2 linked regions of the Daphnia pulex genome follow. The protein of the gene in region 1 interacts with the protein of each later gene in a biochemical or structural test. Links are inferred from orthologs where the notes say so. Each region holds a gene or a part of one and is shown on either strand. Other genes may lie near its edges. The genes, in order: glutaredoxin-related protein 5, mitochondrial-like; bolA-like protein DDB_G0274169.

What was found.
Region 2: the proteins of glutaredoxin-related protein 5, mitochondrial-like (region 1) and bolA-like protein DDB_G0274169 form a complex in vitro, tested with the Homo sapiens proteins (2 studies listed by BioGRID). The link is inferred for Daphnia pulex from reciprocal best matches to the Homo sapiens genes GLRX5 and BOLA1.

Annotation. Positions count from the first base shown.
Region 1 is NC_060027.1:5,368,767-5,377,349, reverse strand, and holds glutaredoxin-related protein 5, mitochondrial-like, read right to left. Parts: upstream 3,696-8,583; 5' UTR 3,652-3,695; coding exon 3,384-3,651; intron 3,318-3,383; coding exon 3,145-3,317; 3' UTR 3,018-3,144; downstream 1-3,017. Other genes in the region: 28S ribosomal protein S17, mitochondrial-like, read left to right, coding at 3,750-3,869, 3,932-4,057, 4,117-4,184, 4,251-4,313, 4,373-4,475; slit homolog 1 protein-like, read right to left, coding at 6,993-7,321, 7,392-7,656, 7,734-7,976, 8,047-8,466; protein HID1-like, read left to right, coding at 5,001-5,066, 5,136-5,349, 5,415-5,656, 5,719-5,887, 5,949-6,199, 6,271-6,474, 6,541-6,631, 6,698-6,823 and 2 more.
Region 2 is NC_060028.1:8,961,766-8,970,931, reverse strand, and holds bolA-like protein DDB_G0274169, read right to left. Parts: upstream 5,084-9,166; 5' UTR 5,035-5,083; exon of another isoform or gene 4,646-5,034; intron 4,583-4,645; 5' UTR 4,504-4,582; intron 4,435-4,503; 5' UTR 4,413-4,434; coding exon 4,164-4,412; intron 4,100-4,163; coding exon 4,031-4,099; intron 3,960-4,030; coding exon 3,879-3,959; 3' UTR 3,806-3,878; downstream 1-3,805. Other genes in the region: protein obstructor-E-like, read left to right, coding at 1,049-1,091, 1,162-1,383, 1,453-1,572, 1,634-1,702, 1,762-1,856, 1,918-2,045, 2,155-2,167; RISC-loading complex subunit TARBP2-like, read right to left, coding at 2,278-2,342, 2,407-2,606, 2,669-2,807, 2,880-3,063; lysosomal alpha-mannosidase-like, read left to right, coding at 5,265-5,369, 5,466-5,514, 5,594-5,647, 5,714-5,795, 5,874-5,909, 6,002-6,151, 6,223-6,325, 6,414-6,516 and 11 more. UniProt on the Homo sapiens protein: Acts as a mitochondrial iron-sulfur (Fe-S) cluster assembly factor that facilitates (Fe-S) cluster insertion into a subset of mitochondrial proteins. Probably acts together with the monothiol glutaredoxin GLRX5. May protect cells against oxidative stress.

The sequences.
Region 1 (8,583 bases):
ACATGGTGTCGATGTCTGCATTGATCTCTTCTTGGTCTTCGCCTTCTTTGTACATTTCAGCCTGGACCCTTTTTGAGAATATCTCATAAGTTTTGTAGAATCCATCTAGCTTTTTTTCTAATTTTTCGACTTCGATAAACGCTTCCAACGTCATTTCTGTTGATTTGTACGTTTCGACGAGGTTAATGATACGGGTGATATGCTTTTTAATTAAAGTTCTTGCGTAATTTGGAGCCATTGTGAGTTGGAGGTGGCTCCTAAGGAGCTGCTGAGAGTACGAAAAGAAGATAATTAGTTTAAATTAATGTTTTGATTAAGTTGATTAGCCTTTTTGTTTGTTGTTCTGCTCGGTCTTCGGAGATTCGTGGTGCCGAATTAAATTCTGCTGTCTTTTCCACTTTCTTTGAATTCCTTTATGTGAAGATATCTGCAAAAACTGAATGATTTTGGAGCTAGGGTAATTTTCTAGCTCCTTACAATCCCACAAACGGCATAATAACAATTTTTTAGGAAAGAGAATTTAAAGAGTTTTTGCCGCAAGACGGCGGTTTCTAATTCCCAATTTTGTGCTCAGAGGGCGCTTTGTGCCTTCTCAGAAAAAGAGAAAGATTTCCCTTTAAGCAAACAAAAAATGCGAGAGCGTAAGAGCGCGAGATTTGTTTCGAAATGGCGGAAGGCCTTTGTAAATAGAGAGAGAGAAAAAAAATTCAAGTTTTAATCACCCTAAGGCGCACACGAGGCGAACGCGTTGAAAGGGTAGAGAATTTTCCCGCGTTTTTTCCAGTTTAAAGGGGAAACCGGCCTAGCCCCCCAAAAAAGAGAATATTTTTCTGTCGTATTTAGAGAGATCGTTGTGCCTTCTGAGACAGAGAGAGATTTACCCAAATGATTGAATAACAAACAATGCAAATTAAAAAAAATGAGAGAGATTTGTTTTCGGGAAATGGTCTAAGGCCATAGCAAAGAGAGCGATAATTTATTTAAGTCTTTTCACCCTGGGGCTCACACGAGGCGAACTCATTGAAGGGTTAGAGAAGTTCCCGCGTTTTCCCAATCTAAGAGGTAGGGAAGCAAGCCCCCCCAAAAAAAATTCTTGAAAGGAAAGAGATTCCCGCGTTATCCCATTTTTAAAGAACGGGCAGTGAACCCAATCAGCTGAGATTCGTTTTGACAATGCCGGGAGGCGTATCAAGAGATAGAGAGAGAATATCACCTAAGGCTCACACGAGGTGAACACGTTAAAGAGGTAGGGAAGTTCCCGATTTTTCCCGATCTAAGAGATGGAAAGGCAATATCCACAAAATTCTTTGAAAGGGAAGAGAGAATAATTTTACTTAGGCGATGATAATTTGCGTGACAAGAAAAGAATCCCCCTTCAAAAATGATTTAGGAATCGTATTCTAATTTTAAGAAACTTTGAGGAAATATTTTAGCTTTAATTCAAGAGAGAGAAGAGAAATAATTTACTGTTTAAAGGGATCTATTTGCTTACTAGACCCCTGAGAACAAGTTAAACTCAGAGGGAGAGAAAAAGATTCTAATAAATGACTGACCTGCCATAATTAAACACAATTTTCTTTGATAAATGGCGGCAATGATTAAGCAAAAGGAGATAACGAGAGAAAGATTTGAGTGTGATAGAGCGAAACTAACTTAACACTGGTTGGAGAAAACTCCGGTTCGAAGGACCATGTTGGAAATGGAACTCTTGTTGGCGGTGTCGACCGTTCAACTTCCAAGATTGAGATAAGAGATGACACCTTTGTTGTTGCTAGTTCGTCCTTATATTTCACACTGCCGTATAATACAGCATTTTGGTATTTCAATAGTTGGTTTAGGGTTGAGTAGGGTAGGGAACAATAGATTGAATGGGAAGAGAGGGTAAAATCGGGGCCCTCTGTTGAGGTCCCTACAAATTACACAGAATTAACAGTAGCAATAATGTCGATCACTGTTGGGATGCAATAAATTCCCAACAAATATTATTACACACTGATTTGCTTAACAAATTTTAAAACTTACCATAGTGATAATTGACATCGAAAAGTTCTTCTCCCCAATCTTGTTGGTGACCTTCTTCCTCCCAGTCAAAATCTTGCTCCCCGTCTGAGTTCTCCTCTTCTTGTTCCTCCTGAGCTTCTACATCTTTAAACAATTATTAACATTACTAAATTTTTAAAAATTAAAATGTAATTTTACTTACTGTGGCAGTTTTCAGTCAGATAGTGGTGGTGTTCCTCGCATCTGAAAGGAAGATCACAGAGAAAGGGATACATGATTGGCCCTAGGTAAAATTTATCCTAACCTATCCTAACCTAAATTTTAAACTTACAATGGGCAGAGGTAGGGCGGGTATTCACTCATTTCAATTCAATTGTTTAGATTAAAAGTTGTAAAATGTAGCAAATTTTGCTTTAGTTTCAATCTGAAATTTCCACGTCGTCTGCTCAGTTTTTTTTCCCGCTTTTTGACCACCGTTGCCAGGTTCTTATTTTTCAACTGTCACCAGACACAGAACCATAGACAAAGACCACTGGTTGATGCTGTGCTATCCTTTTAGCCCTATCCCTACTGACCCCGAGCTCCCGTATCGATTGTAGTGCCTCTAGCGGACAAAGTACTGTACTGCACCGAGGCTACGAAGGGTTTTGCAGACGAAGATTGTTTTCCTTCTGTCTTGGTAAAATTCTTTGCTGGCGTTTAATAGTTTTAGGTAATTTTGCCTTAAAATTTTTTATTAAGAAGTCAAATTGTATTAAATTTTGACATTAGCTAATTACAAAAGCAGAGAAATCAATTGAATCATTGCAATTGAATAGAAGTAAGCAGAGTGTAGAGATGAAAACGTACACTAGAGGGCAGGACAAGTAATACGGGGTTGGAGAAATCGGAGGAAGGGTAGCAAGAATTCTGGCGACAGTTGGCCATGTTAAATGTTAATTTTCTTATGAAGAGCTTCAACCAGTGGTCTTTGTCTATGACAGAACCGTGGATGAATCGGAAACAGGCTTTATTACAGGAAAGTTTAATGTGATATTGTTTTCTCATGAATTTAGATTGTTGGGGAAGTCCTAAAGCAGCTGACGGAGGAAAAATTATTGTGACTGAGAAATACAGTTGATGAAAAACAAATAAAATTTCAAGTTATTCTTCCTTTTTTTCTTGTTCAAGTAAAGCTGATTGGATTCCAACTTTTTGTAGTTCTTCTATTAACTCCCCGTTTTTGTGCATTTGTAAAAGAATATCACAACCACCAACAAACTCACCACCAATGAAAATTTGTGGTATTGTAGGCCAGTTTGTAAATTCCTTGATACCTTAAAAAAAGGAAACATGTATGTTAGGTTACAATTTCTTTTAAACTGAGTAATGTTCAAAATTACCTTGACGAATACTCTCATCAGCCAAAACATTGTGAGCATCATAATTTGTTACTCCATGCATTCTGAAAATTTGAACAACTGCATTACTAAAGCCGCACATAGGCTGCTCAGGAACCCCCTTCATGAAGACAACAACTTTGTTTTTCTTAACCATCTGTTCATACTGATCTTTTGGTGACACAGTGCAAAGATAGGCTATTGAAATTGGCCTGTTAAGCACAGCCGCTTGAAGAAAGACTTTAGAACACTTTTGCATGACACCAGTCATCTTGCGGAAAATTGATTAATTGAATTTAGGACAGGTGAATGAACCCTATCTGCTTTTACATAACATTTAAAATCGACACATTGCAACCGAATACGAATATGGCTGCATTACAGGTTTCTAAGCTTGCATCTGTTCTTGCCCGATGCTTACCGTCAGACTTGAAGAACGCCGCAAAATTCAAAGTAAAAGTGATGGAATTTGATACACATTTGAATATGGTTAGTTTTGGTTTTTATTATTTATATAAAATTTTTTAACTGTAGGCCTCTATATTTTTTAGCACTTTTCAAAACATGTTACAGTGTACGCACATGATCCAAGTAGTGTGTGCAAACCTGGTGATGTTGTGATGATTGATCTGTTACCCAAAAAGCTGACGAAAAACATCACCCACCAAGTCAATAAGGTTAATGAAAATTCACTCTAAAAAGATTTGCATTTTTACAGTTGTGATTATTTTGCTAGATTGTATACACATTTGGGGATATAACAGATCCTATAACAGGGAAAAAAGTTGTTGTGGGCAAATATCGGTAAGTTATTTTTTTTTTGTAACCTATTTCAGCTATTTCAAACAGCTTGCATATTTTTACATTCAGTGATGAAATTGAGGCCAGGAATGAACTTTATGGGAAAAATCCATCTGGATTTGATTACACCAGGTATTTCCACTTCTGCTTCAACATGTTGAATCTTCTCATTAAATGTATACATTACACAGGGCTCCGGACAGAGGATGGCAAGTTGGAAAGAGAGATTTCTCAGATAAAGATACTTACAAAAAATATCACATGTTTGAACATGATGAACCCTATGCTGTTTAGTTGATAAAAGCCTTGTGGGCTTCTTATTATAAAAACAAGTTGATAATAAACTGAAACGAATCTGTGAACGGAAACGGGTCCGCTCACTGATTTGAACAACGCGCTGATTTATCAAAAATCGGTTAACTGAAACGAATCCGATTATGAATCAGCTAGAGGCGCTAGAGGGTACTGGTAGGCATAACGTTATTGCCTTCATGCGACTCTAGCGTAAGAGAACGGAAAAGTCGGAAACCAATCCGTTCTACGGCCCTCAAAAAATCCGTTTTTTAACGACACGGAATCGGATCAGTATCAGTTCACTGGTGAAGACTGTGTTGCCTACGTTGCATGAGTTACAAATTACTCGTGTGAGTGACGTATTATTGATTGTCAGTTGTCGGCCTTGTCGCTTGTCAGAGACTTGGGCAGTTGGCACTTAGCTTCTGTATCTATTTCAGCTATTTCATTGTTCTTTCATCTTCTGAATTCATGTACTGTACATGAAAGGCTTATTTGTTTGACTGTTTCTGTATAGCCTTTGCAATGGGTAATGCTGACACAAAACTCAACTTCCGTAAAGCTGTTGTTCAACTTACATCAAAAACACAGGTCAGAATTCAAAAGATTTAAAAATCTGTTTTTTCTTTAACGTTTCGATATTAATTTATGAAAATGAAGCCCATTGATCCTTCGGATAACACTTTCTGGTCCCAGTTTTGGTCAGAGAGCATCACAAATATCCAAGATGTTTTTACATTAATTCCTGCTACAGAAATACGTGTTCTAAGAGAAGAATGTCCATCAAATTTAGCAACATTATGCTACAAAGCTGTTGAAAGACTAGTAAGTGCTGCAGACTCATCGTGTGCTACTCAGCAAGAACATAGTACTGGTAAAGTAATCTTTAAATGCAAGTTTTCCGCATTTATTTTCATATGACTTTATTTTCTATCCTAGTTATCAACTGTGTTCGCATACTCACAAGACTGCTTCCTTACATCTTCGAAGATCCTGACTGGCGTAGTTTTTTCTGGTCTAGTTTACCCAGTAGCTCTAAGCAACAGTTCAAAGATGATGGTGAAAATCCAGAGGGCCATGCAGAAGAATCTGTTCCCCTTGCCCAATCTTTACTAAATGCACTTTGTGATCTTCTCTTTTGCCCAGATTTCACAGTTTATTCTAGTAAAAAATTTGGACCTGTAAGTTATATCCATTATATAAAATTTAGGTTTCTTTTCTGTAACTTGAATTTATCCTGTAGGACAAACATGAAGATCTCCATTCAATAGATAGCTGTGAATTTATATGGGAAGCTGGTGTTGGGTTTGCCCATGCTGCTCCACATGATCCACGCCTTGATAATAATAGAAATGAGATTTTGAAGCTTCTGTTGACTTGTTTTAGTCAAGCAATGTATCATCCACCTGGGAGTAAGTAGTTTTTCTGTTATTTTTATACATTTCAAATTACATTTTAAAATCGATGTTTTAGGTGAAAGTGAGGCTCCTAACAAATGGGTCCAACATTTCACATCACCGGAGAATCGCCATGCATTGCCCTTATTTACTTCACTTTTGAATGTCCTCTGTGCATATGACCCCGTTGGACTCGGTTTACCATATAATCATTTACTGTTCACCGACAGTCGTGAACCTTTGGTAGAGACAGCTTTACAACTCCTAATTGTTACTCTTGATTGGGATTCATCTGCTCAATGCTCGCAATTGAATACTATTGACGAGGTATAAATCAGTTTTAAGTTATTTGTAACATTCAGTTTAAGTACATTTGTTGCTTTAATTTATTGGTGCAGCAGAGCGGAATGATCCACGAAAATTTGTTCATCAATTATTTGTCGCGCATTCACCGAGAAGAAGACTTTGCTTTCATGCTTCATGGATTCACTCGTCTCCTAAAAAATCCTTTGATACAAACATACCTGCCTAATTCTAATAAGAAAGTTCAGAATCACCAAGAATTACTTGTGTTTTTCTGGAAGGTGTGCGATTTTAACAAGGTAATTATCCTGTCTTCTCAAATTCTTTCAGACTATGCGTTTTTCAATTAATTGTTTTCATAACAGAAATTCCTGTACTATGTCCTAAAATCGAGTGACGTACTCGATGTATTAGTTCCTATTCTATTTCATCTCAATGATTCTCGTGCTGATCAGTGTAAGTCGCTATACCTAGACGGCTGAAGAAATAATATGATAATCCGATATTTAATTTTTTGCTTAGCTCGCGTTGGACTAATGCACATTGGAGTTTTTATCCTTCTTCTGTTGAGTGGTGAACGAAATTTTGGAGTTCGTCTGAATAAGCCATATACGGCGACCGTCCCCATGGACATTCCAGTATTCACAGGTGGTTATTTACATATTATTGATTCCAAAACAATTTTGTTATTCTAATGAATTTTAGGTACGCATGCCGATTTGCTGGTGGTTGTATTCCACAAGATAATCACTACAGGACATCAACGTCTTCAGCCATTGTTTGATTGTCTACTGACAATTCTCGTAAATGGTAAGTTCTACTTCGTTTCGTTATCTTTTGCCAACTCAGCTAAAGTCTTGTCCAACTGAGATTTCCATGGTCTTGGAGGAGGACATTTGCGGAAATCGTCAAGGCCAAGATCGGCGATGGGTGAGCCATCACCATCGCACCTCGCACCAACCACGATGGATAGTAGTCGTGCGTTTTTTACTAACCAGGCAAGGCTGCAGTCACACGCGATAGGATTGCCCGCCACATAGAATTTTGAACCTTCCAAAATAGCCGAGTCGATTATAGGTCCGTAAATGTTGTCTGTTAGGGATGCGATGTTGTTTAAACTTAGGTCGACAAGATACGGCATATTATCTGTTAGGAGTAAATCCGGTTAGGTTTTGATTTAGTACTTTTTATCTTATGTAATTATAACAAATTGCACCTTCTGAAAAAGCCTGTTCTAGTGAACTTAGTTGATTGGCACGTAAACGTAGCTGCCACCGATCAGAGGAAACGTGAAACGCACCAGGAGCTAAAACTTGCAGATTATTCCAGCGAAGGTCGAGATATTCTAGTGCGCCTAAACGCCGGAATGCTTTAGGAGCAATCGTGTCAATCTTGTTGGAGTAGAGATAAAGTACTCTTAGAGAAGGCGCTTGACCGGCATCTTCAATGTTTGTCAGTTGATTCTCGCCCAAGTTCAGGACCTGTTTTTTTTTTCCCGCACACACACATTGAATCAGTATCACGAATGAGATCTTAAGAATAAATTTATTTTTGTTACCTGCAGTTGAGTGAACGAGTCAAACATGGAAAAATTGACTCTGGTAAGCCGATTTGAACTTAGATCTAGACGTCCAACGATTTGATCGGTTCCTTGAAATGTATTATGGACAAGTTCGGTGATTTCATTGCCTCTCATAAGCATATTTCCAACATAAGCTTGGGCAGTTTGACGAGCCAAAAGTGGTCCAAGAGTCGAGTTACGAACTTCTAGTGCGTCGATCCGCTTACCGAGAAGCAAAGTCTGTGGAGTAAAAAATTTAAATCTTTATCGGAACTGATGCAGATTATAACGAAATATTTGCCACGATTACGTTGAAAATTTTATGCATTTGTTGTGCACTTGTAAGAGCGACACATTCAATCATCAGAGCATTTTCGTCCAGTTCATCACGACAGGTGCATGGTAAAATTTTACCCTCTTGAGGTTTCAATTCGGGAGGGCACACATTTACAGGCGACCGAGATTCATTGGTGATCTGAATTTCCTCTTCCACTTCTTCCTCAGCAACAGCTAGGGTAGTTGGCGGTGTGGTAGTAGTCGTAGTAGTCGTGTGACGTCCCGAACGTCTTCCTCCTCCCCCTCCCCCTTCTTGTTTCACCTCTACCTTCGGTGCAGCAGTGGTAGCCTCGGATTCTTTTTTCCTTTCGCCTTTACGGCGTTTTTGAGAGTCCACCGGGGCGGTAGTCAACAAGATCACCAACAAGGCAGCAGTGATCCAGCGGAAATGCATCTCTATTGAATTTAATCATAAATTTTGTTTACTAATTTATTCTATTTTATTTTCCAGTATCTCCTTATCTAAAGACGCTGTCTATGGTGGCTAGCACCAAACTGCTTCATCTATTGG
Region 2 (9,166 bases), on another chromosome or scaffold:
AAATGCAGACCAGTAATCCAGTATAACTCTTGTCGTCCTTCAAGCAAAATTTAGAGACGCATCACCTATCGAAACAAAAATCGTAAGAAAATGTCCTCAAATGTAAAGATTGGGCTGGTTAAGAGTTAGAATACTGTACTGCATTTAACGGAGACACGAGAAAGACTAAACGGGCGAACGCTCGGTTATTGTTGGACCAAAAGACGAGACAAATAAACGCCAAGAGGCCACACCACGCTACAGCGTGAAGGATTGCCAACAAAACTGAAACTAGCCATGAGAACAGCATGGCAATGGTGAGCGCACTGACTTGCATTCGCGCTTGGAGGAACCCATTTTATACGAATTTTTCTAGACAGCGTGAAAGCCTTACAGAGAGCTCCAGGCACTGAAAAGAGGAGGTACCAAGGTATTCCTCATTGAGAAAAACAGCACGAGGCCTATGTGGGTAGACTAACCTGTACAATAAGGCGGTGGCGAGTAGAAAGGTATGTTACAAATAATTGCCGCAGGTTTCTTGATCTTTGTTCTTGGCCAGTATGGTAGTCAATAATAACTGTTGAATTCGAAAGCGAAAGCTTCTTTGCGGGAAAACAGAAAGTACATACGTAGAAATCGAAATCTGTGGGGATGATTACAAACAATAATTATGGCGTGGTTGAATCTTTTTGCAATCTAACTCGGCGAGGAATAGTGACTAGAGCTCGTTTTTGTTTCAAGAAAACATACCCACATATCTAATTTCTGAAGGATTATTTCTGTTACAGGGAAATTTGAGATAATACGCCGAGATAAACTAAAAGACAATAACAGAAACATCCTCAACGCTAAAGCTTTCCTTGGGAACCCAAAAGAGATAACGAGCACGTCCTTGGCTATTCCGTATTACATCGAATCGCCATCCAATTTTCCCATAATAGGGGGTTCGTGGAAGAGATAGCAGGATTTCTACTCAATGGTCATGCAGTACAGATCAAGTAAAGTACATAAAGGACGTCGTGCCGAGTCCTTGTCGAGTCATTGAGCAATCATTGCTGTGTCGTAAACCATGGTCAAGTGTGTTGCAACGTTGATTTACTGCGCATTCGCAGGTTACTTTCCCCATATTATACCGAGTGAACCTCACCAAAATCAAAATCGTTTTTTTCCCATGTATTATAGTAAATATCTTGGCTTACGTGACCAATGGCGATCCCGTGCGGCTATGTCGAAAAAGACGATTCCCTTACTACATCGCTGATTCGGATCAGTGTGACCTATTTTACAAATGTAAGGATGGGCAAATAACTGAAGAACTTTGTCCAGACGGACAGGTCTATGAGCCTGAAAGCCAGGCCTGTTTCATGATTCAAAGGGTTAAATGCGGCAGAAGGAAGCGCTTACGTGAGCAAAACATTTGGTATTCTAATTACTTTGTTAAACAATGACCACAAAAATCTTGTATCTTAAAAGAATCGCCACAAGGAAACGCCCTCTGCCCAAGACTCTACGGAAGATTTCCCATCGAAAATGAATGCTTTGCTTATAGTGAATGTGAACAAGGCACACCCACCAAAGTAAACTGCCCGCCAGGTAAACAACGTTGTGCCAAAATTCAAAACGAGACCTAAATTTTAAAAACATCCTTTATAAGGTTTAATTTTCGACATTGACCAAGCTGTTTGCGAGTTTCCCGATATGGCTAATCGTACCGAATGCTCAGGTGCCTAAAATATTCAAATTAGTTAAAATTTCCTTTAAAACCACTTTTAAAATGCAAAGCTGAAAAGATCTTGGACTTCACATGCCCCCACGGATCTAATGTTCAATCAGACGAAGTTGTACTGCAATTTGGCGATCACGAACGCTTTCCAAAAGTGAGAATTTGTCTAGATACCCTCCTGGAATTCCATTACTAAATTCAATAATGAAAAACAGAAGGGAGATTGTCGACATTTCTTCATGTGCTTGAAGAGTGGTCGACCTCGATTAGGAGGATGTCCACTTGGTACAATCTACAACCCTGCTACTTTCTTTTGTGATAAACCTGAAAACGTCCCAGAATGGTAAGCACCCACCGTTAATATTTTACATACGTACAGCAAAATTACAAGGCCACGAGTCCATATTAAAATTTAAACAATCAACATGAATGTTGCTTTACCTCTACTACAGCGAAAATGTGTAGGCCCTGCAAGAACTGAACGGGACAAATTTTTACAAGTTCATATCGTTTTCCATATCCAGCGTGCACTTATGAAATCACGTTTCTCGGAATAGCTATTACAACTCTTCGTCTTAAAGTATCTGGAGCATTTTTCCGGCAGCGACATTTTTGGCAGCCTTCTTTGACTTTCCCTCACCTGATACAAAAGTAAGGTGTTTTCCAAAAATGTTGAGAATAAAATTTCAAATGATAAACCCTACCTTCAGTGATACGATCCCCAAGCTTGCAAGTCATAAAATATGTTTTGGAGTGAGAAGGACCTGAAGTTCGAACAACCCTGTAATCAGGAAGACTGCTGTGTCTGGTCAAACACCATTCTGTGAGAACCCCAGATGGATTTAGAGTTGGTTCTGTTGGTGGTTTGGGTATGTCTTCCTTTAGTGTTCCACATTTTTCCAGCCTGCTCAAAAAAAAAGTCTATAAAAGAGGCCCGTAGAAAAAATAGAAACAAATTGAACAAACCATTCACAGCAGTTCACGAGTTTTACTCTGGGGACATTGTTGAGAGTTCCATCGGCTCGATAAGTCTCCCTGATTTGAAGCATCATTTTATAGGCAGCATCATGCTTTGCTTGCATCTTGGTTAAGCCAATGCCTTCAACTGGTGATAGATAGATCAAATTTCAATTATTTGCAGATTTTTAACGATAATTTATAGCAATTAAAGGGTTACCTGAAATACCCAACATGTCTACAGTCAAATTCATCAAGAAAGTTCGACTGTGGGGTTCGCCTTGCTCAGCCACCAAGTTATACATGGCTACTCCAAAGTCAAATTTTGTACAAAGCTCATGAAACACACTGACAAAAGTCTTTTCTTGAGCAGCACTTGGTTCTCTCAGGGAAACTTCTGCCATTGTTAGTGATGTTTTCTTATGTTATTTGCGGATTTGAGCATTAGCAACAAAAACAATGACCACTTCCAAACACCTGCTGGCTTAAAGACTGTTTGCAATGTGATGATCAGTTGACGAATCTGCACCGCCACCGCTCAACGGTGTTCAAAATATAATCGAATCGATTAAGTAATCGATACATAGTCGACCACGCGATTCATATGTTTTCCCGGCTATGTGCTATGTCGATAAAAAATAATAATGTAATTTTAGAATTTAGATGACTGCAGCGGCAGCTAAAATTTCAATCGTAAATAAGAAGCAAGTATTTAATTTTTCTTTTCACGAGAATTCAGCCAAATATGAATATTGACTGTCAATATGAAAAATTGAAAATGTGAGGAGAAGAATTGTTTGCTTCGTTAAACATACGGGCTAGGTCAAACAACCCTAAAAATGAATGACTGAATTATTAATAAGATGTTCTACTTGGTGGATTCTACGGTCGGTGGGTTCAAATGTAATATGTGTGAAACAAATCGCTGAGGCTGAAGCTTGTCGTATTGAAGTTGAATTGGAATTTAATTACACTTCCTAATACATCTTCAGTAAAGCAAGAATATATGTTTCTGGAATAACCCTATTTATATGTCACCAACTACAGTGTAAAATTTGAAATTTTAATTTTAATACTCATAAAATAATCTTAAAGTTTTAGGAAAAGATTGAATAATAATTCAGTAAGTCTGTTTGAGACACCTGGAAGAGTGAAACAAATACATTTATTTACTGACTGATGTTTGAAAGCAGCTTTGAATATTTAAAGAGCCCAATAGTTATTTGCCAAAACCACCTTTACATGCTGGACTTTTTTCAGTAACTTTAGATGAACCTTCCCATTGTGAAGGTGTTTTTGCCTAGTGATTAAACAAATTATAATATTAGTTACCACCATAGATCATTTCTAAAGTTAACCAATGTAACTCACAACAATTGATAAAGCATGAACTCCATTTTTTAGCTCATCACAGAGTACTTCATTTACCAACCTATGCCTCTAATAATAAGAAAAATCAAATCAAAATTCAATCTTGAAATGTAAATTGTTAATGCCTTGATACCTGTAACAATGGTGTGTTTTCAAATTTGCTTGAAACAACCACAACCTTGAAATGAGTCTCACTTCCTTTCGGTACATTATGCATGTATGACTCATTGAATATATCTAAATGAACTGGTGAAAATTGATTAGTGAGCTTTACACGAATTGACATTTCCATTGGGTTGTTTTGAATCGGAATGGTAGTCATAGTCCTCGATGAAAATGATGAATGAAAAGGGGACAAAACTCTAAAAGTTCGAGCTAGCATATCATTATCATCCGCAGCAACCCTGTTCAAACGGAGAATTTTAAATCAATCAAAGTAAATTTAGATTAAGTCGTGATTAAGCCCTACTTACACTTCTTGTTAAAAATGCAGACGAAAAAGCAGACGAAAGTTGCGATGTTGTTGTTTTCTTTCTAGGCAACGATGCCGATCTTGATGCATTTTAAAAAGAAAATCGACAATATTTGAAATTATTATACCAAATTAATCATTCGGAATTATCTGCTGTGATTTGAAAAACTGTGTAAGTCATTGAGGTCATTCATTAGCTAGATGTGTTTTTTTCTTGTGAGTTAAATCATCAAATGTCAGTTGTGTTGTGTAACATAAATGCGCAGCCACACTGCTATCTGTCATCTTCGCTCAATATTCTGTTATCAAATAAACATCTTAAAATATCTTTCTTTCTGGTTCAGAGTGCTCCGAAATAAACAAATATTTACACTGCCACTCATCGGATTGTTAGTCAAGATTCCACGTTACGAGAAGCGTAAACAAAAAACTTATCCGATCATCTCAAGTTAAAAAAGCGATTTTCTGCTGTGCTGTGTTGCTAACATGTTACTGCGGGTGAATATATAAGAATAATTTGACATGCTGTTACCCGCTTATTTGATGGGCCAGCAGTGTGTAAGTCAAGTCGACCGTTGGATCTAGCCTCAGCGATTAGATAAACCGGACAAACAAAACCAAATATTCCAGACTTCAGAGATGCAAGTGAAAGTTGAAGAGATACGTACAGTGAACTAACTCTGAACTGAACCGGAGATTTTTCGCCAGACGTTTCCTTGTCGCACCAGTGCTGAGACCATCAGCATTTCAGCTTTATACAAGATGAAGCTACCCTTTATCGGCATCGTTTCGCTTCTAGCGTTCGGTTGCTGTTGGATCACGACCGACGCCGCTCCCCAGCAGCGAGCCTCTTCCTGCGGCTATGATGTAAACAGAAACATATTTCTTTTAACAAATTTTTTTTTTTTTTTTTAAGTGTAAATATATCACATTACTGCCATATTGATTTTTTCTTTATCGCAGAGCTGTACGCCGAGTAAACCGGGAGTGATCAATGTTCACGTCGTTCCGCGTATGAAAAATTATAAAATTAACTTTTGTTTGATTCTTTCGTTTGTCCAATTAATCACGTTGTGATACACTTTCCGCAGATACACACGACGACGTCGGGTGGTTGAAAACGGTCGATCAATACTACTATGGCTGTAAATATGAACACTTAAAATATAAAATGACGATTCAAAGTTAACTTTTTCAACAAACTTTCCAAGCGAAAACGGGTTACCAGAGAGCAGGCGTACAGTACATCATTGATTCCGTCATCAAGGAGTTGGTGAAAGATCCGGCAAGGAGGTTTTCTGAACACACATTTTCCGTTTTAATTGGATATTATACTAATTGACTGCAATGCGACCATTTTGGCTCATTCAGATTCATCTATGTGGAAATGGCCTTCTTTTCGCAATGGTAGGCAATCATTATGCAATTTTCGGCCATTAAAAATGCAAACTGTTTAATAGAGAACTGGCAGCAACTATATACTTGATCCATTTCCAAAGGTGGCAAGAGCAAACAGAAGAGAAAAAGGCTGTCGTCAAGCAATTAGTTGAAGAAGGCCGTCTCGAATTCATAAATGGCGGCTGGTGCATGAACGACGAAGCTGGAACGCACTACAACGACATCATCGATCAAATGACCTGGGGAATGAGGTACGCACACGAGTAACTTGACAGTTAAAGGGCCAAGGTCGTCCAAATAACTTTTAAATGCACTTTCACAGGTTCTTAAACGATACATTTGGCGAGTGTGGCCGCCCTAAAATCGGCTGGCAGATTGATCCGTTCGGCCACTCGAGGGAGCAGGCGTCCATATTTGCTTCCATGGTAATCGAAATGCGATCCTATTTGAGAGAAGATTTGATTAGTTTCCGAGTCATTCGCGTGTTGTACTCCTGTATATAAAACGGTGTAGGGTTTCGACGGTGTCTTCTTTGGCAGGATCGACTGGGTTGATAGGACTCAACGGAAAGCCAAGAAGGAAATGGAGATGATCTGGCATACTAGCAACAGCCCTGGTATAGTAATGAACCCTTCCAGAAATCCTAGATCTTCAATGTCTAGCTGCGCTGCTCGCTGTAAACCGTTGAGAACGATATTATTATATAACAGGTGAACCAAATTCCATCTTCACGGGGATCTTCTACGAGCATTACTCGGCTCCCAACGGTTTCTGCTTTGATGTCGTGTGCAGAGACGAGCCGTTTATCGACAGTCCTAGATCTGCCGACTACAACGTCGTGAAAAAGGTATCCAAGCGAATAAATCCTCCCGTTTCAGCACGATTTCAATTAGTAAAACGACAATTCAAACGTCTAATAGGTGAAGGATTTAGAAGCGCACATCAAAGCCAAGGCTCTCAGTTACTCCACCAGTAATATCATGCTCACCATGGGCGATGATTTCAACTACATGTCGGGTATATACTATTACAAGTGCTCGAGCTTGACATGTCCTACGGAATAATGACAGAAATGTTATGTTTCTAATGAGGCCTTTCAAAAAATTAATTCAATTCATTTCCTACCCTTTTTATATTCAATTTTTGGGCACTGAAGCTGACATGAACTTTAAGAACATGGATAAAATGATACGCTACACTAACGAGTTGGCCAGCGGAGTCAACCTGTTTTACTCGACGCCCAGCTGTTATGTCAAGGCTATCAACAACGAAGCCGGAAGCCGGCCGTGGCCGACCAAGACGGATGACTTCTTTCCTTACTCAAATGATCCGCACGCCTACTGGACGGGTTATTTTACATCTCGGCCAGCCTACAAGGGTACGGTGCGGAAAGCCAACACTTTCCTTCAGGTACTACAAATTTCCCCCCAACCAAAAAACCAAAAAAACTGACACCAGGTGCAAGCGTTGAAATGTGTTCTTGAATAAAAATACAAACTTCCCGTGTATAGAGTTGCAAGCAACTCCATTCGCTGGCTGGCCAATCTGCCGGCGGCCAAAATCTGATTGATAGTCTCAGACGCAGCATGGGAGAGGCACAACATCACGGTAGGCAATCAGAGCCTTAGATTCTTTTCATTATATTATTATTATTACATGCGGGCTAAAACACTAATGACACTGATGTATAATATTTGTACGAAAAAAGATGCTGTGGCTGGCACCGAGAAGGAACACGTTTCCCAAGGTAAACATCACAGTGTGTTTGTTCACGGTTGAATGATTGAATTTTTGTGAAATGACGATAATTTCTAACCGCCAGATTATAGGCTGAGATTGCACGACAGTCTCGTCGATTGTCAAAAGGATGTGGGCAATTCTTTCAGGTACAAAATTTCACAAATTTTCCTTTTTTTTTCAAACCCAAAAAATTCACCAACCAAATTTTAAACCGGGGAAAACCCAGCCAGCTACTTCCGATCGGCAGCCAGGCATTGCCACCACAAGAGTTTTGCCTTCATTTGAACGTGAGCCAATGCGCCATTACGGAATCGTCTTCTCGTTTCGTAACGACCGTCTACAATCCGCGCTCTCATGAGGTGACCACTTACGTCCGATTACCGGTTATGAATGGAGTCTACACCGTTCTGGACCCCGACGGTAATATAATCGACTCGATAATAATAAAATTTAATAATCAAGAAAAAAAAGGGAGTGGGTCTCGCCACAAAGACGCCTGAAAGTTGATTGATTGTCGTTCACAATACCAACAGGTAGCGAGCTGATCGTCCAACTGGTCCCGCTCGTCAATGCGGCACTCCGATCGATCGAAACTGAAAGACCCAAATCATCAGCTACACACGAGTTAGTGTTCCAGGCGGCCAGCATTCCAGCGCTCGGCCACAAAACGTTCTACATCGTGAAATCTAGCGCTCGGCACGGTCAGCAACATTCCACCATCACCAGCAGCAGGGAGCGGCAGTCGACAACCGTTCGTATGGCAGAAGCCGGCGAAAGAATCGCCGTCAGCAATGGGGTAATCTAAAACACAATCATTCATCATATGCCATGATAACCCAAGTTTGGTATCCATACGTACGTGCGTATATTCTCCGCTGCCGCCGGGGGGTGTCTAATGTGCAGAAACTGTCGGTCAATTTCGACGCCAACGGCTTAATCGAGAGCGTAGTCGTTGATGGAGTAACCGTGATGATGAGCCAGAATTTGATGTGGTACGCTGGAATGAATGAAGGAAACGCCAACAGTATCTTCGACGATCGCCCGTCTGGCGCTTACGTCTTCCGTCCCAACGGCACTGACGCCACACCCATCTCAACGCAGGCCACTCTTATCGTTCAAACAGGTTCGTATAAATACCCACTCGGACGCATATTCTAATATGAATAAGAAACAAAAGGGCATACAAGCGAAAGGGCCGCCTTTGAATCGATAAATTGGCCGGACCAAAAAGCAAAAAAAAAAACTGACTTTATACGATTACATCTACTATAAGGTGCCTTGGTAAGTGAAGTTTATCAGCAATTCAGCGACTGGGCCAGCCAAGTGGTGCGCGTCTACAAAGGCCAGAGTGATGTGGAGATTGAGTGGACCGTGGGACCGATCCCCGTCGGGTATGTGATTCCAGTTCTTCACTGTCGCGGCAACATGACGAAAGAATTCTATTTCGAAAATAACAAAATAAAATAAAATAAAATCAGGGACGGAATTGGAAAGGAGATTGTCAGTCGAGTGACGACACAAATACC